Linked DNA regions of Struthio camelus. The protein of the gene in region 3 purifies or fractionates together with the protein of the main gene of each other region. This does not show direct contact. Links are inferred from orthologs where the notes say so. Each region holds a gene or a part of one and is shown on either strand. Other genes may lie near its edges.

The links.
Region 1: the proteins of EIF4A1 (region 3) and EIF4G3 purify together in Homo sapiens (co-immunoprecipitation; 6 studies listed by BioGRID and IntAct, counting the BioPlex papers as one, with this or other methods). This does not show direct contact. The link is inferred for Struthio camelus from reciprocal best matches to the Homo sapiens genes EIF4A1 and EIF4G3.
Region 2: the proteins of EIF4A1 (region 3) and EIF4E purify together in Homo sapiens (affinity purification with mass spectrometry; 8 studies listed by BioGRID and IntAct, counting the BioPlex papers as one, with this or other methods). This does not show direct contact. The link is inferred for Struthio camelus from reciprocal best matches to the Homo sapiens genes EIF4A1 and EIF4E.

What each region holds. Positions count from the first base shown.
Region 1 is NC_090962.1:8,963,352-8,970,835, forward strand, and holds the start of EIF4G3 (eukaryotic translation initiation factor 4 gamma 3), read left to right. Parts: upstream 1-4,477; 5' UTR 4,478-4,492; coding exon 4,493-4,503; intron 4,504-4,816; exon of another isoform or gene 4,817-5,018; intron 5,019-5,078; exon of another isoform or gene 5,079-5,094; intron 5,095-7,484. UniProt on the Homo sapiens protein: Component of the protein complex eIF4F, which is involved in the recognition of the mRNA cap, ATP-dependent unwinding of 5'-terminal secondary structure and recruitment of mRNA to the ribosome. Functional homolog of EIF4G1.
Region 2 is NC_090945.1:28,151,189-28,158,372, forward strand, and holds the start of EIF4E (eukaryotic translation initiation factor 4E), read left to right. Parts: upstream 1-4,177; 5' UTR 4,178-4,540; coding exon 4,541-4,558; intron 4,559-7,184. UniProt on the Homo sapiens protein: Acts in the cytoplasm to initiate and regulate protein synthesis and is required in the nucleus for export of a subset of mRNAs from the nucleus to the cytoplasm which promotes processes such as RNA capping, processing and splicing.
Region 3 is NW_027182614.1:2,065-8,916, forward strand, and holds the start of EIF4A1 (eukaryotic initiation factor 4A-I), read left to right. Parts: upstream 1-3,846; 5' UTR 3,847-3,921; coding exon 3,922-3,944; intron 3,945-5,387; coding exon 5,388-5,436; intron 5,437-5,532; coding exon 5,533-5,665; intron 5,666-6,852. Other genes in the region: SENP3 (sentrin-specific protease 3), read left to right, coding at 477-560, 681-731, 1,934-2,044. UniProt on the Homo sapiens protein: ATP-dependent RNA helicase which is a subunit of the eIF4F complex involved in cap recognition and is required for mRNA binding to ribosome.

The sequences.
Region 1 (7,484 bases), on a different chromosome or scaffold from region 3:
AACAGGAGTTTTAATTAATACAGATACGTGCAATCATAAATAACGCTCTTAAAATTAAATGGAATTTTAAGGCTACATTGGCATATTCCTCTTGATGCCATTGCCCCTCTAGAGAGGTAATACCATGAATTTCCAGCTGAAGGGAGTTGATGAAATCTATTGACTTTTCCATCGCTGCTGAGAGTCCATATATTGTAAGAATAAAATATGAATAAAAACATTGAAGTGCTTGATGTTCTGCAGAGAAAAGTGCACTGTTAAACAAATACAGACTTATTTTTAAGCAAGTCGGCTAGTGAAAAGTTTTCTGTGCGCAAGCATACAGATGTCCATGCCAGAGATGTGTTTCTGGCACTTCACTTTGCGTTATCTGCTACCTCAGCTGGCACAGACATGAGGCAGGGAGGGGTTGTGATATTTTTTCCCTTTATATTTTGCAGCTCAGGCCAACCCGGGGTTTAATCTCTCTCAGTTTGGGCTTTGAAAACCCATTTCCCGGAGATGCTGTGGTTAAAAACACACACAGGACAAAGCTCACAACCGCACGGCTGTTCAGTCGTTCTGCTGCCGCTCGTGATGCGCGGCCCTGCGTAGAGCAACCTGAACCAGCCCTACTTCTCTGTCCTAAAAACCCCCACCAAAAACGCACTCTGAGAAAAATTCCAGCAGGATTAGCAGGGTTTATATGCAATTCCCCCCCCCCCCCCCAAAAAAAAAAAAAAACCCACCCATTCTGGCCAGGTCTAAGCTGAAAATAGGAGCTTTGCTTTGGCACTTCAGCTGCAGTCAAAAAAGACAGAGACTAAGTAACCAAATCAGGTTGCCCTTAGAAACGCGTTTGTACTGGGCAAAATAATTGATTGGATTTTTGTCGCATTTGCACTGATCGAGTATGTTGGCTGACAGCTCCCCTGATAACTCACTCCTGACGGCTCACGGGCTGAAGGAAATGCGTCGGGGTGAGGCGAGGTCTGCGGATGATTTACGTGCTAGTGAGCTGTCTCCATTTCTTTTTAATTTAGAGATGCAAAACTGAGCCTGAAAGTAATGAGCTCCAGATAATTAGGTGCTTGTCTGCAGGTGTAGCTATTGCAGCTGCCTACAGCTGGTGCTCTTAATATTGCTGATTTTTATTTTAAAATATTACGGAATGAATGGGAGGCTGGAGATGCAGATAATTTGCTGCAAAGAGTTGGGTTGTTCTGTCCCTCACCTCCCCAGTTTTACTTTAGCGGTCCTGGCTGGCTTGCCTGCGAGGTGTATCGCACATGGGCTGAAGACTGCAAGGAACGGATGATGATAAGTAGCGGAGTATTGTGTTATACGGGGGTGGCGGCGGGAATGCCTCGAAGACTGATGAAAGTCTGATCTCGTTTATCATCATTAATGATTAGCCAGATGGGAAGCGGTATCTCTTGCCTTAGTATTAAAGGGGTTGCGAAAGCCTTGCTAATACAAAAATGCAGTGCAGTATGTTACCCGCAAACGTTAGGAAGGTGAGTGCAGAGCAAAAGGTGGTGCAAAATGGATGCATGCCAGAAGAAAAAAATCAATAGTAGGTATTTCATGAGGTGGGTAGTTTAAACAAGTGCTTTAGGTGGGGGATTTGGAGATGGGTTTGGGCATAAATAGTATATGCGTTTTTAACGGTATGGTGGCTTGCTGCTACAGTGCAGCTTTAGCACGTTTAGTCAGGAAGAAGCGTTGTGTCGTGTGTCAGGCGGTGTGTGCCGTCCTTAAGCGCACGAGTACAATCATACGCGTAAACGTGAATGCGTGCAACTGCGGACGGAGGGGAACGTTCTTCAGGAGGCATCAAAAACCCGTCAGGATTAACTCGTGATGGAAAAGGCGAAGACATCCGAATAGCTTGAGGAGCAGTGGCAGGGCTGGGAGAAGGAAAGGGAAACGGTGCTTTTCGGTAAGCGTTTGAAGGGCGCGTTTTGCTTTCAAGCTGTAGTTTTCAGAGGAGCCTTGGAAAGGCCGGCTTCCGCCTGAGGTGCGCTGGGATGTGTATGCCCCTTTTCTTTTGAAAACTCTTTAACTGGGGCTTTGTTCCCATTCAGTTCAGCGTAAGCATAGATGGGTGACCTGATGTGGCAGGCGGGAGGCAAAGGAAGCGTTTGGGAATCATATAAAAGCTAGTTCCAAGATTAATGATACGTTATTGGGTAAAAAGCTGAATTTCAAAGATGAATCTCAAGAAAAGTTTTAGGATGGGGAGCTTCATTTAAAGTGGGGATAAGTAATGAAATTGCTTGCCGTTGGGAGACGATGCTTTAAGGAAGAGTACCTCAAAGGTAGAGGGATGGACAAGCCTTGTTTCCGGTGAGCGTCAGCTAGTGCAAACGGGGAGCAAGGAAAGGGAGTCCGGCAGCCGGTAACGTCAAACGAGGCAACTGCGGTGTCTAATGGAGCCAGTGAGCTCGTGTGAAACGCGAGCGGTATTTATGTAAGTACGTGTCTGTTACAAAAACAAAAGGTGCACTTTTAAAAAGTATTTCTTGCCAGTATAAAATAATGAACAATTTGGAGCATTCTGTATTACCGTTTAATGCGCAGAGTAAGACTAGGGATTAAAAAAGTGGCTCGCACAACACTTTGTTGATCCGCTTCATGTTCTTACCTTTGGCAAATGGCAACTCGGTCGCGAACGGTGACTCCACGTGTTGCGGTGAGAATCTTTCTGTTAGGCCAGAAAATGTTGAAACGAGCTTAATAATGGCGTTTGCCTGAAGCTCAGTTTGTGTATAAGTAATTCTAGGAGCCAGTGACTCCTGAGGTGTGGTTTGCATCTATCCACAAGAATAGGGGTAAAACGATGTACTCGTCTGTTACGTAGCTTGGTGATTTCAGGCAGTATCCCCACGATACATCCCGTGGGTGCCACTTGAAAAACATTTGTTACTGTGTGTTTACGTTTTTTGAAAGCATTTGACTAACTAGAAATAGGTTCTTGATGTCAGAGTTAAGTATTAGCATACAGATGACGTGGTTTTCTAAGGAATTCACCACCTATGGCTCCTGCTAACTTTGGCAGTGTTTCTTCTGGGTGTTCATTCAAGGAAAAGCTGCCTTCATTTTTATTTCTTTTTTCCCCCTCTGATAAATAAATAAATAAACGAACAAATGCAAACCACTGAAACAACAGCCCTCCGTTACATGCTGACCTATGATACGGCCAGCGCTCTGAATCGTAGTTTATTTTGACATCCGGTCGCTGCGGAAGAGTTAAGTTGCAGCCGTCGAAGAAAACTAAAATAAAACTACCGTTTTACTGCAGAAGGCCGACTCGTTCTTTTGAGGTTCGACTGACGTGCCGTACAGACGGTAAGCGCCTAGTTAATCCTCACGAGGATGAGCAGAGCCCCACCGATGTATTTCACCTCTCCAGAGCATGGTCGCTTGAATTTGTCTCCATCCTTACGTGTTATTTGGCCGACGCTGGGAGCGTGTGGCAGGGTTTGGCACGGCCTGAAGCAACGCTCTGGCTTCGTTCTGCTTCGGTGGTCGAGCCGTGTGGCTCCAAAATGTTTTAAATGAGAGTGGCTCCTGAAAAGAGTGAGACTGTGTTGTTGATTTTTTTTTTTTTTGGCTTAAATTTTGTTGTAAAAGGTGTTACGTGGCCGGGCAGAGTGCATCGGTGGCCCGTGTTGGGACTGGGATGTGCCGTTGGAGCAGGCAGTGGAAAGGCTCGAAGGAGGCTTGAGCAGCAGCCTTGGCTGTTGGTTCCTCCCGACCCTTTAGACGTTGCCCAAAGTAGCTGAATCACGGTCGGGTTTGATTTCCCTGAGTTAATGGTCTCGCGTCTCTCTTAGTAAGAACTGCTTAGCTCTGTAAGTCTGTGCGGTGCTGGATTTCTGTAAGAGCTGGTAGAAGAAGCGAGGGAGGCAGGGGTCCCAGGGGAAAGACAGCGTGCCCTTGCGAAACTAAGGGCTCGGTCCTGCACATACACACGAGGCAACTGAGTTAAGGTTGCATGAGCCGCTTTAATCCTGGCGTTTCCTAAGTCTGGGGCTGTTTGCTTTGTGACTCGAATTGTCCTCGGATGAAGCTTGCGGGCTCGTAGTGACTATTTCGTCACGGGGAGAGCCGATGGTGCTGTTTTGATCTGGTCGTTTCCCAATGCCCAGCATGTGACATGTCACTTGGTAGGTTGGTTGGTTGGTTGGTTGGTTTGTTTTCAAGGCGGCAGTTTGTCTTACCCGGTTTCCTTGCCTCGGATCCTGAGAAGCAGCCCGTCAGGCGGGGAATTTATTCCGCGGGGAGAATTGATTCGTGAAGCACTCGCTAAAGAAATGGGCTTGCGGCGGCGGCGCCTGGTAGCGCGTTGGGGGACAGCGAGCCGTCCCTCTGGACCGGGAGGCCGCCAGAAGCAAACGGCAGAGTGCGTTGCTTGAGGGAGTTTGTGCCGTGATTTAATTCCCCTCCCGACAGGCAGCGCTGAAGTTTTCCATGCCCTTCCTGTAATGCGGCGTGCTCGCCAAGCGCAATGTGCTCTAGGTGAGTTTGTTTTATTCTTTGTTTCTTAAGGCCGCGGCTTGGTTTGATTTTACCCCAAGTAAGGCTAGCTCCCTCTCGGCGCCGCTAAAGCGAGGCAGCGAACGCAGGAAAGCGGAGCGGTCGCCGTTCTGCCCCGCGATACGAGTGACGTGCAAAGGCTTTCTCCGAAAACTTGCCTCTGCCTTTCTCTCCCCTGCCACCCGGCTGCGCCCGCCAGTCTTAGCTTAACGGCGCTGCCTCCTTTGCGACCGCTGTCGGAGAGCGCGTCCCCTGCGACCGAAGCGGGGCGGGAGCGCTGAGCGCGGCCAGCCGAGCGCGGGGGCTGCAGGTAGCGCCCGGGCCGCCCGTGCGCTACCGCTTTAAGACCGCCGGCGCGAGAGCTCGGCTCCGCCGGCGAGATTCAGGCGCTCAGAAGGAGCAGCTGCATGGCACGACCGCGGCCGTAGGCTCCGCTTTCCGGGGGGAGAAATCCCTCATTCGGGACGCCGTTTGCGGAGGCTGGAGCTTGCTGCCAGGTAGGATCGAGCTGCAAAGGACGGGCTGAGGCCGAGGAAGTTTCTGCGAGCCGCCGCGTACGGCGCAGCCTTCCTTGTAACCCTTTAAGTTAGCCGTGCAGTCTCCAAACCTGCTTCAAGGCGCTTCTGCTGTTAGCATCGCCATCTCCTGTGTTGCAGCTGAATTTAAGACGGAGAGGAGGCTGCAGGAGAGATGCACGCTCTTTTAACTGCTCTGGCTGCTGCCCAAATGCCTCCCTGCGTAGAGGGGTTTGCACGGTTCCTTGCACCAGAAAGCTGGCGGGAGCGATGAGCGTTGCAATTTGCAGGTTCCTGCCCCTCTGTAATCTTGCATGATGGTTTTATCTTGCATTTTTCAGACATTTAATACATAATTTCTGTACAAGCGGGAACATGCACAGGGATTATATAACCCTAGGGAGAGCTGGTGAAAGACTTGCTACGTTTCCGGGCAAGGATAAAAATCGTTAGTTGTGGAATGCTTTTGTATACAGGTTTGCATATGTGCCCTTTGGTCCTCACGGGTATTTTTATTCGCATGGAAAGATGCTTGCTTGTTACAGTAAGCTGCAAGTGAAGAAAGGGGCCATCAATGCATGCGAAGGATAAAATGGTTGCTGCTGAGCTTAGGTGAGAAGCACCGTTCTGGGGAAAATGAATCCATTTTGGACGAAAATACAACAGCGTTGTTTCTGCTTGGTCTTGGAAACAGTAGCACAACAGGGAAACCTGTACAAATTCTTGCCGTGAGAGCCTGTTTTAGATCTTGGTACGTGCTTTTCGGTTCTCCGTGGCCTAAATCTAAAAGTGCACAAAATCTTGCAGTGTTTCAGTTCTGTAGCATTGTTAGAGCAAAAAGACAGGCGTTGCACAAGAGGGAAATTCCTGCAAGAAATTCCTCCTGACTTTTATTTAAGTCCTCTGTATTTCTCAGTGCCTCTGAATACTCCAGCTGCCAGGCAGTTCTGGTTTGGATTTTTTTTTTGATTGCCTTAAAGAGAAGTCTCATCTTCTCACAGTCCTCAGAGTGTGGTTATGACTGTCTAATTAAAATATAGCATCCTTCTTTCATGGCAGCTTTTGGGTTTTAGAAAAATTTGATTTTGCTTGCAAATGTTACTCTCTCTGCCTTCCTTCTCCCGCTGGGTCTTTAATAGTTCCCCACATTCCCCAGCTTGCAGTCACTGTTGCAGCCAGATGGGGACTAGGTGGAACTCCCCTTGCATCTGAGCTTGCTTTTATTAATCTGCCAGCAGTATCTGAGTTGTGTGGGTTTTTTATATATCTGTTTCATGAGTTAATGAGCCCTAAGCAGCAACGAACAGAATCCAGAGTTAGTATTAACTGCTGGCTGTCGTCCTTCTGACTCTGCTTCTGAGTTTTGGCTGGACACTGATGGAGGATGGAAAGCTGTAGAGAGTCATTAAGCCTAAGAAGCAGAGACTGTAGTTTCCACTTTACTAACCCGTCAGCTGCAGAGCTGATTGAAGAGGCTCCCTTTCGCATCCACTTGTTCCTGCTCTTCTGCTTCATTGCCCACCCCATCTTTTCTCCCTGCATTGCTGGAAGGAGCTGGGAAAATGGCTTGAGGTTTGGGTTTAGTTTTGTTTTTCAACCCCCCTCTCCCAGGTTTTTGCGTTGTTTGTTTTTTTTTTTTTTTTTGGCATGGATCATTTCCGAGATCTGCACAAGTGCAGCTGAAGAGGATGGCAGTGGATGAGAAGGTTTTTGGGAGGAGGAGAAGGTGGGAAAGTACAGGATCCTCCTGAATTGGATCTAGCCGTACTGGAACAGCGATGTGAAAGAGGTGCCTGAATTATTCAGCATATCCCTGTTTCCTTTGCACTGTAGCTAAACTCTGCCATGGAGCCAGCCTGGTTTTACGTTTTAACTCTTAAACTTCCCTGTGTCTGATGCGGGGAAGCAGGGGGGCAGCGTTTGCACAGTTTGCCTCATGTGTCGGGTTGTGGACCTCTTCATCGCCCCTTTCATGAGAGCAGTGCCTCCAGAAGATGATCTGCTCTGAGGGGGCACTGTCTTCTAGATGTGGCTGAGTGACCTCAAAACGGATGTCCTTGTCAAACGTAAGGGGGAGTGAGGGTGGTCACTCCTACCCACGGGGAAGGGCCAAGCTGCCGGAGGCAGTAATCTTGTCCACTGGCCCAGCTCTTTGCAGAGCGCGTGTTTGTAGACACCAGAAGTTAGAAGTTGGAGATCACCTCTTTCTCCAGCCATCCTATCTCATTAAGAGTTACTGGAATTTAAAGCATTTTTGTCCCTGTCGGTGTCACGTCCAGGTCAAGTCTTCTAGCAAAAAGGACTTGCAGGGTTTCTTTCTAATCTGATGAGAGTTATCGCTTTCCAGAAGCGATCTTAAACGGCAACCCCAAACTCTGAAAATTCATCTAAACTGCTCGTTCCTCGAGGCAGCCCTCTTCCTGGGTGGAAAAAGAGGGGTTGCTCTGC
Region 2 (7,184 bases), on a different chromosome or scaffold from region 3:
ATAAGGAGAAGGGAAGGAACAAATACTTAATTTCTGTGGTATCACTGGGAAAATGTGTCCCAGTTCTTTTATTGTGAAATTGTTTTCAGTATTTATTTCTTTGAAACAGTAGTATAAAAGTTGAGGACCTTGAATATATTTTTGTTGTGTTTTTCTTTAAACAGGTAGGGTGGCTGATAAAACATTACTTCATTGAACGCTCTCCCTTTATTAAATAAATACCAAATTCTAACACTAAAATGAATTCCATAGCACAAAAAAAATACTGCAGAAAATTTGCTGTTCCAATACATTTTGGTTATAACCAGTGGCCATTCAGTGATCTACAAACAAATGTAGTGGAAAGCAGCTTTATTCATGTACCAGCATTCTTCCAGTATCAGTCTCACAAGATCACTGCCCCTATGGGATTTATTGTTTCATGCATTTTTGTCTCTGTTGTCTGGATTTCAGAGTAACAGGAAGTCCACCTTCCCGTAAAAAACAGTTTGTGTTTGGAAAAGCCGCTCTGTAAATCAAATCAAGTCCAATTAACCAACTTATTACTAGAAGTCAAATAATATCTGCATAGGTTAACATGACAGGCCTAAACAGGGAGATTATAGAGGAGTATAGTGAATAAGTACTGACCTGTTCCATAATTAACGAACCAACCCAATATTTGGTCTACTTTACTGATAGTGAAATTCTAAGGAAGATCAAGGAGGTCAGCAAGGGCGGGAAATACAAAAGTAACAGTAGTCTTCATTGCTTGTATGTAGCCTGTACAAGTGTTACATCTAGATGTATCACAGAGACTGGCCTTTTAGACATAAATAGTGCCTCTTTCATGGAACAACTAGTTAGAAAGTCCATGAGAAGACAGCCTTTGACTTCATCCTGAGTAGTAGTTGGGATCTGGTTTAAAAACTCATATATTTGGAGAGCCAGTCTCTGAGCAATGACCATAACATACTTTGATGCATTACAGGATCACCAACAGCCAAAAAATTCACCAAATTTTGACTCAAAGAGTGGAACTGTATAAAAATAAGGCAGTTTGTTAAAAAGGGACAAAAAGGTGCAGCTAAATAATTAAATCCTTACAGGCAGCATGGAAGCTATTTTAAGATACACCTATTAGAAACATAAGGTCTATACACACACTTGGATTATTAAGGAGGGCCCGAGAAGGGTGAAGTAATATTCAAATGAAACAAAGTAGAAACATAAATCCCTGCAGATTGAATATAAGAAAACAATAAGATTGTCCCCCCAAAAAAGAATCAAAACTAATAATAGATTTTTCTTTGATTCTCTCAGCAACAGGAAGCCTTCCAGAAGTCTGTTGGAGCAATTGATAACCGTAGTATTAACAGGAGTACTCAAAGAACACAAGGCCCTTGAAGAGAAGTTTAATAAATCATTTGAGTCAGTTTTCACTGTGGAAGAAACTGCAATCACCAGTGGATATCCTGCAAATTGAAGGGATTTTGGAAGAGAGAATGGAAGAAACTTGATAAAATGAACAGTAAGAAATCTTGAGGACCAGATAGTATTCACCCACAGTATTCAAGGAGGAAACTGAAATTGCTAGCAGGTGTGCATAACCACAGTTTTAAAGCTGCACCGATACCTGGTGTCTACAGGATACCAAATGTAATATCAACTTCTAGGAGGAGTCCCATGGAAGATAGGGGGCCTGACAGGCCAGGAAGCTTGCTCTCTCCTCTGCAGGTCAGTAGAAACTATGATAGGGAACAGAATCAGTAGACACCTAGATAAATATGATCTACTTGGAAGAGTCAACATGACTTTTATAGAGGGAAATTCTGCCTTACAAACTTACTAAATTCCCTGAAGAGTCAACGTGCATGTGGAAAAGAGTGAGATGGTTGATACAGTCTAGTTGGATTTCCAAGGGGTAACTCATATTCTTGGAGCAGATAAAGGAATGCATGCTTTTCCACTCCGCCAGCCACAGAACCCTATATAAAGTGTCTGGTACATTTTTTTCCCGGTCACCCATTGCTTCCCTAAACTGCTGTTTCTCTCGCCTCTTTCAAACATCCTCCATAAATACCGGAGGTAAATAAATTTCCATTAAGCCTTAGTACCGAAAAAGTGCATCTCAGTCACTCTGTCTCCTCCCTTAACTTCTTCTCAGGACTGTAATTTTTGATTTCCCTTCTGTTGTGAGATGAGCAATACCATCCTGGCTGGAAAAAGTGATTTCAAGGGACAGAGCTCTAAAAGGTTGATTTCTAGGGTGAACCACCATGCTTAACCATCCTTCTGTCCCTGTAGTTGTACCTCCATTTCTAGGTCACCCAGGAAAGGGGATGCTGCATGAATGCGCAACTCACTGTCAAAGCCTGAAAACACCCTACCTGCTACCTAGCTCTTTAGCAGATGAAAAGGAATGGATACTTGCAGATCTTACACCAGACTGTGTGTGACAGGAACATTTCAAAAGGAGAATGAAGTAAGTGCCTTTCTCTGGACAAATTGCCTCCGTGCTCAAAAGGAATTCGGCCGTTTCCCATGGGATAAACGTAGAGCTCAGTTGTATCACCATCCCTCTCATGCTGCTGTATCTCTCCTGTTCATCTGATGAGGTGTCACCTTGGCACATGAATAGCAGTCTAAAATATGAGCTCCACCGGTACTATCTGGGGATCTTATTTCTTAAAATAGTTCCATTTAATTTTTAGATCTGTCTTGTAAGATAGGAATGCTGTGGCCATTTAGGTATCTTTTAAAGCCTCCTGATTTCCTGCAGAACTAAAAAATCTGATCTGTGGTAGGTCTCATTTGGTGCTTGATGTCCTACACCCTGCTATTTCCACAGAGCAAAGCACTAGTTTCCTTCTCCCATGGCTGGATTAAATTTCTCAGCACTCGTAATTTATTTAATCAAGGGTCAAGGGGTGGGGGAAACGGAGCTGCTGCAACTCCTCTAATTATGGTCAGAAATATAATTCTAACTGGCAGTAGAATGGGACTGAGTCGGCTAAAACAGTGGAGGCAAGGTGCCTGGTGTTAAGACTTCTTGGTTTTAAAATGACAACCTTTCCAGCTGTGTCCTTTTTTCCTCTGACAGGACCCCACCACTCAAAATTCTGAGCAAATAGGAACAGACGAGATTGCAAAAATGCAATGCCCATCGGAGTAACGTGTTTGCGTCAATCTGAGAATCATGACTGATGTTGTCAAAATTGGACTTGGTTTTTCACATCGGCCAGCATGTGACCACCTGGCTTGAACAACAGACGTTTTGTTCCTTTTATGAATGAGAGGCACTCTATCAGCAAAACATGAATGGGCCCAGTTATATTCAATAAACTGAGTTTTTCTTAGCTTTTGTTTCCCTTTGAGGAGAAGAAATTTGATGCCATTGCAGTGAGTAGAAACTGATTCAAAAACTGACCTTGGGGAAGCAAAACACGAAGACTGTTGCATTTTGGATGCTGTAAAAATAGGATTTGAGGAACTCTTGATTAAATTCAATCAAATAATCAGTCTGGACCTCACAGTAAGAGCCCACAGTTTTCCTGTGTTGCGGGTATGATTTAATTGCATTGTTTATGGCACAATGAGAGACAACTTAATGGTGCACTTGAAATTTGCAGGGTTGTGGCCTTCCTCTTTTGCCATACAAAGCAAGTACAGAAGATGCCACTGGTAACTGGATTGCAGATCCTACTTAGTTGCCTATCTAAAGTAGAAAAATACAATCGCATCCCATTCTTCAATGTACTTGAAATGCTTTTGAGAATTTGTATGTTGTATCCTCAGGCCATCAGACACATATTGCAAGGTGCCCTTCAGAAATCCAGTAAAAATCCGTAGTTACTGCAGGAGAAAAACCTTGCCCCGAAACCCTTTGAAGTACACGTTGTGAATAACAGAAACCCAGCTAATCTCTGATTCCGGAAAAGCATTCAATGTTGCATTGCTGGTAGATTATTTCTGTAGGCGGGTGGAAGTTTTTATTTGCGATGCGGACACCTTTGCCAGCACCCCCCTCCCCCGCCCGGGTGAGGGGCAGGCCGAGCTGGCCCGGTAGAGCAGCGCTGTCCCACGCTACCTGCCGACCGCTGCCAAACGCTCGGCGCCGAGCCGGGGCGAGGCCACCGTTATTTTACAGACAGGGCTCGCGCGCCGCGGCCAACGGCCGCCCCCCGCGCCGCCCCGCAGCATCACGGGACGGCGCCGCGCGGCGCATTGTGCGCGCGGGCGGCGCCCCGCGCAGCGCCCCGGCGCGGCCGCTAGGGGTCAGCGCCCGCCTCTTCCTCCCCCATGTGACTGCGGCTCGCCGGCCAGAGGGAGGGCGAGCGGCTCCCGGCCTCCTCCGCGCTCGGCGCCTACAGCTCCCAGCAGGCGCCGCGTCCCGCGCGCCGCCCTCCCGGCGGCCCGAACGCCGGAGCCTCCCCTCCCCCGTCCCAAACGGCCGCCTGGCTCACGTGACCGCGGGCCAGCCAACCGGGTTTGAACCTGTTTTTTTTTTAATCCGCCCCTTCCCCTCCCCGCAGCGCTGGTGCGATCAGATCGATCTAAGATGGCGACTGTGGAACCGGTGAGTGTTTCATTCCCTTCTCCCGCCCGCCTTTCTCTCTCCTTCCTCCGCCTCCCCTTGCCCGCGCTGCGGCTCCCGCGGCCCCGGCGGGCGCGGCAGCGGGGAAGGGGGAGAGGGCGGGGGCGGGGGGGCGGCGCCGGGGCGATGGCGATGGCGATGGGGCCGGCGAGGAGCGCACGCACGGGGACGGGGCGGGGGGGAGGGGGAGAGGGAGACGAGGCGCGGCGCCGGCCTGCGCGGCGGGGAGGGAGGGAGGGAGGGAGGGATAGGCCGAGGCCCTGCGCGCGCGCGCCGCCCGCACCGTTGCGTCTGTGCCGTCACCGGCGCGTGGAAGAAACGAACCGACCGTTGGGGTGGGGTTGGGGGGTGAGGGGGGCAGGGCGGGCGGGCGCGCGGCCTGCGGGTAGCGGTGCTGGCTGCCGCCGTGGCGCCCATTGTGTCGCGGCGGGGGCGGCCCCGCGGCTCCCCGCCGGCTGTGACCTTGCCGCCCTCCCGAGGCGGGGGGGAGGGGGGGGGCGGAAGGTGAGGAGAGGAGGAGCAGCCAGCCCGGGCGGGCGGCGGCAGCAGCAGCGGCGGCGAACGGCCCCCGCGGAGCCTGGCGGGCGGCCCTCGGCCGCGCTCCGCTCATGTGGCGGGGTGGGGGTGGCCATGTTGCTTTCTGCCGCAAGGAGCCGGCGAGTTAGGACTTTTCCTGTCACTTCAGCGATCGCCCGTCCCTCGCCAGGATGCGTGCGTGCACCCTCACGGCCATGTAGGAGTAGCAAAGGTTCAGTTCCAAGGCTGCCGTAGTATTTCAAAGCTAGTGGTGAAAGATGCCTTGTGCTTAGGCGATACGCAGTCGCTAACCTGGGGTGGGGTGAGTGTCTCAAACTGAGTAGTTATGCTGCTCTAGATTTAGGCAACCGAAAAAGCGATGTTGCTGCTCAGATTCAAGATGTGATGCAAACACTATTCCCTTTTATCATCTGATGTCACCTTTCTGGTCTAAGATCGTATTTTTGTTGGAACTTTCTGTAGGCTAATTTCTGTAAAGTGTTTAATTATTAAACATTTTCTTCCCTCTCTGTGTGTGAAGTTGTGTTCATAAAACTACACAGTGTTTCATAATTACTGTCCCAACCTGCACTTCCCCTAAAGAATTGAAGCAGAGCTGGACACGGTCTGGTAACTGTCAATCTAATTGTACACATTCGTGTATCATGGGGAACAGAGTGTGGAAGACCTTGTGCTAGTGTTTGGAGAAAATGAGAGATTTAAGGATGGGTGACTTGTTCCTGCTTCTCACCTACAGTGCCTAAATAGCCAGTGCATGCTTTGGAGAGGCCTTTAGATAGAAATACTTAACTACAAGAATCAGTTTGCTGTTTTTAAATACAGACATCTTAGTTTGCCAGGGAGACAGTCTTAAGGGATGCTGGTCATACAGTTTTCTTTCCTGAACAACAAAAAAAAAACCTTTACTTACAAGAAAGACCAACGTTGGTCATCAGTTATGAATTCCTTGACTAGTGGTTCTGAAGTAGAAGAAAATCGATTGTTAGCGAGCTGGAGCACCAGCAGCAGCCTTCCCATGTTCTTCAGCCACAGTCTCAAACACTTATTTTTACTTCTGATAACTGATCTTTCCAAGCCTAAGCCCATGCTTTTGAAGGAGAGAGCTTCATGTCTCGTGTGTTTTGTGACTGTCATGGGGCTTGGCAGGTGTTGTGATAAGTTATTTGTAATATTGATAGCCACTAGAAATTGAAACAATACTAAAGGCATGTTTCTGTGGCTCTCTTGGCTGCAGTGCTGGCATACGCCTGTCCCCACACTGTTCTCTCCATTGTTTTTGCATGTTTGTGTGGTCGTATGTTGGGCTAGATCTGGGGCCTAATTTAGACAAAAATAAGCAGTTTATTTTGCTACACCATTTTCCAGTAGGATTAGTTCCCAAATCAGGTTTAACCTGGAGTGACGTATTTGTGCTGACCCAGTAAAAGTAGAAGACAAGGCAATGCTTAAGACAGTTTAACTGACCTGTTGTTGACAGTTCTGCCATAGATCAAACATGAAGGAAATATAAGCTATGCTTGGTTATTTTCAAATGTATTTAAATAATACCCTTTTTATGCTTTTACTCTTAGGTGGCTCACACTTCTAAGCTTAAATTTGAGCTTGCATAGTGGCTAAAATCATAGATGGCCGCTGTTGCAAAAATAGTGCATGATTTGGAGTTGAGTAGTTTAGTTGAATGTGTGGTTAGGAGTTTGATTACTTCGTGAACATATGGAAGCCTTTCTATTGCTGACCTTCAAAATCTGGACCTAGGTTTGAAGAAATGTGTCATACTTTAGTAAACATCTTACAGTAAGACTTACTTTGCAGTAAGTATTTTATGTAACTGAAAAGTAACCAGCTTCACTGGTTTTCATACTTAAAGGGAGAAATAAGCTAGGGAATGAAAGAACAGGGAAATGTGAGATAGCCCTCTTTGCCCTCAATGGTAAGTAGTAACTTTTGGTGTTGCTTCCCTAGTATGCAAATGTATCTTAGGCAACGCAGAAGGTTATGAATGTCTCTTTAAGCGGGATACTACTGAAATCAATGATTCTTCTAATACTTTCTTGTTTTAAATGTTGAGAGT
Region 3 (6,852 bases):
ACCCTCAACCGCCGCTGCCCCAAGGTGGGCGGGGCCTGGGGTGGGCGGAGCCTGGGAGCAGGGGGCAGGGCCTGGGAGCCGGAGGGCGGGGCCACCCCATGTGCTTCAGCCCCCAGCGTGCTGCCAATAGCTGGTGGGGTGGGCGGGGCCTCCTGGGGTGGGCGGGGCCTCCTGGGGTGGGCGGGGCCTCCTGGGGTGGGCGGGGCCCGGTGGAGGGGCGGGGCCACACCATGTGCTCAGGCCCTGCCCCGTGTCTTCTCAGTGGCTGCTTTCCCCCCACCCCGAGGTGGGCGGGGCCTCGGCGCCGGGGGCGGGGCCTCCTGCGGGGGGCGGGGCCACACCAGCTGCTTCCACCCCCTCTCCTTCCCCCTCCCTCCCTCCCTCCCAACGCTCCGGGGGGGTGGGCGGGGCCGGGTGGGCGGGGCCCCGGCTGACCCCGCCCCCTGCCCCGGGCACTGACCCCGCCCCCGCGGCAGCACATCTGCCGCTACCTGCAGGCCGAGGCCGACCGGAAGGAGCGGCCGGACTTCCGCGAGGGCTGGCGGGGCGCCTTCAAGATGGTGAGCGCCGTCGGGGGGGGGGGGGACGGAGGGGACGCCTGGGCCCCCGCCGGGGCCGCCCGCACGCCTGGGCCCCCTCTCCCCCCCCCTTCACGGGCTGCTTCTCTCCCCCCCCCCCAGAACGTCGCCCGCCAGAACAACGACAGCGACTGCGGCGCCTTCGTGCTGCAGGTAGGGGCTGGGGGGCGCCGGTGCCCCCCCCCGGACCCCCCCACGGGCCCCCTCACCTCCCATGATCCCCCAGGGCCCCCCCGGACCCCCCCGCGGGCCCCCTCACCTCCCATGATCCCCCAGGGCCCCCCCGGACCCCCCTGGGGCCCCCCTCACCTCCCATGACCCCCCCAGGGCCCCCCCGACCCCCCCGCGGGCCCCCTCACCTCCCATGACCCCCCCAGGGCCCCCCCGACCCCCCCGCGGGCCCCCTCACCTCCCATGACCCCCCCAGGGCCCCCACGGACCCCCCCGCGGGCCCCCCTCACCTCCCCCTGACCCCCCTTGGCCTCCCTTGTGACCCCCCCCACCCCCTAGGAGCCCCCCCCGGGTCCCTCCATGACCCCCCCAACCCCCTAAGAGCCCCCCAGGGCCCCTGCTGGGGCTCCCCCCGACCCCCTTGGTGTCCCCCTGACCCCCGAGGACCCCCTCAACCCCCTGGGGTCCCCCCCGACCCCCCCCGACCTCCCTTGTGACCCCCCCCAATGCCTCTAGGACCCCCCCCCGGGTCCCTCCATGACCCCCCGAACCCCCTAAGAACCCCCCAGAGCCCCTGCTGGGGCCCCCCCCTGACCCCCTTGGTGTCCCCCTGACCCCCGAGGACCCCCTCAACCCCCTGGGGTCTCCCCTGACCCCCCCGGCCTCCCTTGTGACCCCCCCCAGCCCCCCTAGGAGCCCCCCCCCCGGCTCCCTCCATGACCCCCCGAACCCCCTAAGAGCCCCCCAGGGCCCCTGCTGGGGCTCCCCCTGACCCCCGAGGACCCCCTCAACCCCCTGGGGTCCCTTGTGACCCCCCGGGTGTACCTTGTGACCCCCCCAAATGCCTCTAGGACCCCCCCTGGGTCCCTCCATGACCCCCCCAACCCCCTAAGAGCCCCCCGGGGCCCCTGCTGGGGCTCCCCCTGACCCCCTTGGTGTCCCCCTGACCCCCGAGGACCCCCTCAACCACCTGGGGTCCCCCCCGACCCCCCGGCCTCCCTTGTGACCCCCTCCAGCCCCCCTAGGAGCCCCCCCGGGTCCCTCCATGACCCCCCGCCCCGGGCCTCCCCCGAGCCCCCCCAGGGGGCCCCTGCTGGGGCTCCCCCCGACGGCCGAGGACCCCCTGTGCCCCCCTGGGGTCCCCCCCCGAGGACCCCCCCCCGACGCCCCTCTCCCCCCCCCAGTACTGCAAGTTCCTGGCGCTGGGGCTGCCGTTCAGCTTCACGCAGCAGGACATGCCCAAGCTGCGGCGCCAGATGTACAAGGAGCTCTGCCACTGCAAGCTGGCCGTGTGACGCCGCCGCCTGTGCCGCCCCGCCGCCTGTGCCGGCCCGCCGCCTGTGCCAGGCCGCCGCGGGGATGGGGGGCTGTTCTGGGGGGGGGGGGGCGGGTTTTGTACAGCCGCCGGGGCCGCGACTCTTGTCGGGCAATAAAGAACCGGTTTGGAGCCGCCTGGGCCGGGACCGCGACCCCGCCGGGGGGGGGGGGGCACATGGGGCCCAGGCGTCCTGGGACTCCCCCCCCCCCCCCCCACCAACGCCACCGGGGGACCCAGGCGTCCGAGCGCCTCCGCTCCCCCTCCTCGCTCCCCCGTCTGCCCCTCGCCTTCTCAAAGGGGCCCAGGCGTCCGGTCTCTTCCCCCCCCGCCCAAAGGCACCCAGGTGTCTGGGACCTCTGCCCCCCTAAAGGGCCCAGGCGTCCGCCCCCCCCCCCCAAGGGACCCAGGTGTCTGGGACCTCCCCCCCCCCCCCAAAGGCCCCAGGTGTCCAGGACCCCCCAAAAGGGGCCCAGGTGTCTGGTCCCCCCCCCCAAGGGCACCCAGGTGTCTGGGACCTCCCCCCCGCTCCAAGGGACCCAGGTGTCCAGCACCCCCCAAAAGGGGCCCAGGCTTCCGGTCCCCCCCCCCCAAAGGGACCCAGGTGTCTGGGACCCCCCAAAAGGGGCCCAGGTGTCCGGTCCCCCCCCCCAAAGGGACCCAGGTGTCTGGGACCCCCCAAAAGGGGCCCAGGCGTCCGGGATCCTTCTCCCCCCAAAGGCACCCAGGTGTCTGGGACCCCCCAAAAGGGGCCCAGGCGTCCGGGATCCTTCTCCCCCCAAAGGCACCCAGGTGTCTGGGACCCCCCAAAAGGGGCCCAGGCGTCCGGGATCCTTCTCCCCCAAAGGCACCCAGGTGTCTGGGACCTCTGCCCCCCCTCTAAAGGGCCCAGGCGTCCGGCCCCCCCCCAAGGGACCCAGGTGTCTGGGACCTCTGCCCCCCCCCCAAAGGGCTCAGGTGTCCGCCCCCCCCCCCCAAGGGACCCAGGTGTCTGGGACCCCCCAAAAGGGGCCCAGGCGTCCGGGATCCTTCTCCCCCCAAAGGCACCCAGGTGTCTGGGACCCCCCAAAAGGGGCCCAGGCATCTAGTCCCCCCCCCCCAAAGGCACCCAGGTGTCTGGGACCCCCCAAAAGGGGCCCAGGCGTCCGGGATCCTTCTCCCCCCAAAGGCACCCAGGTGTCTGGGACTTCTGCCCCCCCCCAAAGGGCCCAGGTGTCCGGGACCCCCCCCAAGGGACCCAGGTGTCCAGGGACCCCCCAAAAGGGGCCCAGGCGTCCGGGACCCCTTCTCCCTTGAAGGGACCCAGGTGTCCAGGACCCCTCCCCCTCCAAGGGGCCCAGGTGTCTGCGACTCCCCCCCCCCAGAGGGACCCAGGTGTCCGGGTCCCCCCCCCCCAAGGGACCCAGGTGTCCGGGACCCCTCCCCCCCCACCAAGGGACCCCGGTGTCCCGGCGTGGGGGAGGGGCGCTCACACAAAGCTCCTCCCCCTCCCAGCGCTCCGGCATGGCCGCCCACGTGGGGGGGGGCTGGAGGAGGAGAGGCCCCGCCCTTCCGCCTTTAGCCCCGCCCCTTCCTCCCCGTGGCCCCTCCCCCGGCCGGCGGCGCGTTGGCGCCCCGTGAGGGCGGGAGTGGGAGGGGGGCGCGCGCGCATGCGCGCTGGGGGCGCCCCCTCTCCCCAGGGGGGAAGCGGGAGGGGAAGGGAGGAGGCGGGGCCAAGCGGGCGGCAGCGGCGGGCCAATGAGGGCCGAGCCGGTGGGCGGGCGCGGCGGCGGCGGGCCAATGGGCGCGCGGCGGGGGCGGGGCGCGGCGGCGGCTATAAGGCGGGCGCGGGCGGGCGGGGCGCCGACGCTGCCCAGGATGTCTGCGAGTCAGGAGAGCCGGTGAGGGGCGCGGGGGGGGGGGCGATTCCCTCACGGTTCCCGCCGGTCCCGTCCGGGCGCAACCACTAGGGGGGGTTGAGGGGGGGCGATTCCCTCCGGTCCGGGCGGAACCACCGGGGGAGGGGGGCGATTCCCTCACGGTTCCCGCCGGTCCCGTCCGGGCGCAACCACTAGGGGGGGTTGAGGGGGGGCGATTCCCTCCGGTCCGGGCGGAACCACCGGGGGGGGGGGCGATTCCCTCACGGTTCCCGCCGGTCCCGTCCGGGCGCAACCACTAGGGGGGGTTGAGGGGGGGGCGATTCCCTCCGGTCCGGGCGGAACCACCGGGGGGGGGCGATTCCCTCACGGTTCCCGCCAGTCCCGTTCGGGCGGAACCACCGGGTGGGGGGGGGGAGAGGCGCGATTCCCTCATGGTTCCCGCCGGTCCCGTTCGGGCGGAACCACCGGGGGGGGGTGATTCCCTCACGGTTCCCGCCGGTCCCGTTCGGGCGGAACCACCGGGGGGGGGGGGGCGATTCCCTCACGGTTCCCGCCGGTCCCGTCCGGGCGGAACCACTAGGGGGGTTTGAGGGGGGGCGATTCCCTCATGGTTCCCGCCGGTCCCGTCCGGGCGGAACCACTAGGGGGTTTGAGGGGGGGCGATTCCCTCACGGTTCCGGCCGGTCCCGTCCCGGCGGAACCACCGGGCGGCGGGGGGGGGGGGGTCCCTCACGATTGCGAGGGGCTGAGGGCTCTGGGCGGAACCACCAGGCCCGGGAAGGAGGAGGAGGGGGGGGGGTTTCCTCTGTCTCCGTCGGCGCCAGCGGCTGAGCCGCCCCTTGCCGCATGGCGGGGGGCGCCCTCCTCCTCCTCCCCCCGCGATGGTCGCGCCCGCCGCGGCGCCTGGGCGAGCCCATCGCGGCGGAGGGGAGGGGGGAGCGGGTGGGCGCGCCCATGGCGGCCACCCACGCGGGCGGAGTGGGGAGGGGGGTGGGAGCCGCTTCCCACCCCCCCCCCCCACCAACCCGCGGCGCGCCCGCGATGGTGGCGCCGGGCGAGCCCATCGGGGCGCGGGGGGGGGGGGAGAAAGGCGGCCGGGGTTCCCCCCCTCCCTCCAGCGCTCCGCGCGTGGTTCCTCCCGCGGCTCCCCCCGCCCTCCCCGCCGCGGGCGAGCCCACCCCGCCCGCGCGCGCTCTCGCGCCCATTGTCCTGCCGGCCGGGCACGCGGCGCTGACGTCACCCGCGGCGCGGCCCGCCGATTGGCTGCGGGGCTGCGCGGGATGGAGGGGAGGGAAAAGGGGGTGGGACTTCCGGCGGGAGTTAGGCCGCGACCACGTGGAGGAGCCTGCGCGGGGCGGAAGCGGCGGGAGGCGGCGGGGATCGGCTTCCGGGTCAGAGGGCAAGCGGAAGCGGAGCGGGGGGGGTCGGGGGGGAACGGCCGTGACCCCCGCTTCCTCCCGGCAGACCCCGAGACAATGGCCCCGAGGGGATGGACCCCGATGGCGTCATCGAGGTGAGCGGGGGGGGGCGGCGGGGGCCGTTTTGGGGGTCGGGGGGGGGGATCCGGCCGCCGAGGCCTCCCCCTGACCCCCCCCCGCCGCCGCCGCAGAGCAACTGGAACGAGATCGTGGACAGCTTCGACGACATGAACCTCTCGGAGTCGCTGCTGCGCGGCATCTACGCCTACGGCTTCGAGAAGCCCTCGGCCATCCAGCAGCGCGCCATCCTGCCCTGCATCAAGGGTACCCGCCCCCCAAACCCCCCCAAACTGCCCCAAAACCGCCCCCCGGCCCCCCGGCAGCGCCCTCCTGCCCTGCATCAAGGGTACCCGCACCCCAAACCCCCCCAAACTGCCCCAAAACCGCCCCTGGGCCCCCCGGCAGCGCCCTCCTGCCCTGCATCAAGGGTACCCGCACCCCAAACACCCCCAAACTGCCCCAAAACCGCCCCCCGGCAGCGCCCTCCTGCCCTGCATCAAGGGTACCCGCCCCCCAAACCCCCCCAAACTGCCCCAAAACCGCCCCCCGGCCCCCCGGCAGCGCCCTCCTGCCCTGCATCAAGGGTACCCGCACCCCAAACCCCCCCAAACTGCCCCAAAACCGCCCCCCGGCAGCACCCTCCTGCCCTGCATCAAGGGTACCCGCCCCCCAAACCCCCCCAAACTGCCCCAAAACCGCCCCCCGGCCCCCCGGCAGCGCCCTCCTGCCCTGCATCAAGGGTACCCGCCCCCCAAACACCCCCAAACTGCCCCAAAACCGCCCCCCGGCAGCGCCCTCCTGCCCTGCATCAAGGGTACGCGCCCCCCAAACACCCCCAAACTGCCCCAAAACTGCCCCCCGGCCCCCCGGCAGCGCCCTCCTGCCCTGCATGAAGGGTACGTGCACCCCAAACACGCCCAAACTGCCCCAAAACCGCCCCTGGGCCCTCCGGCAGCGCCATCCTGCCCTGCATCAAGGGTACGCGCACCCCAAACCCCCCCAAACTGCCCCAAAACCGCCCCCCGGCCCCCCGGCAGCGCCATCCTGCCCTGCATCAAGGGTACCCGCACCCCAAACCCCCCCAAACTGCCCCAAAACCGCCCCTGGGCCCTCCGGCAGCGCCCTCCTGCCCTGCATCAAGGGTACGCGCACCCCAAACACCCCCAAACTGCCCCAAAACCGCCCCCCGGCAGCGCCCTCCTGCCCTGCATCAAGGGTACCCGCCCCCCAAACCCCCCCAAACTGCCCCAAAACCGCCCCCCGGCCCCCCGGCAGCGCCCTCCTGCCCTGCATCAAGGGTACCCGCACCCCAAACACCCCCAAACTGCCCCAAAACCGCCCCCCGGCAGCACCCTCCTGCCCTGCATCAAGGGTACGCGCCCCCCAAACACCCCCAAACTGCCCCAAAACCGCCCCCCGGCCCCCCGGCAGCGCCCTCCTGCCCTGCATCA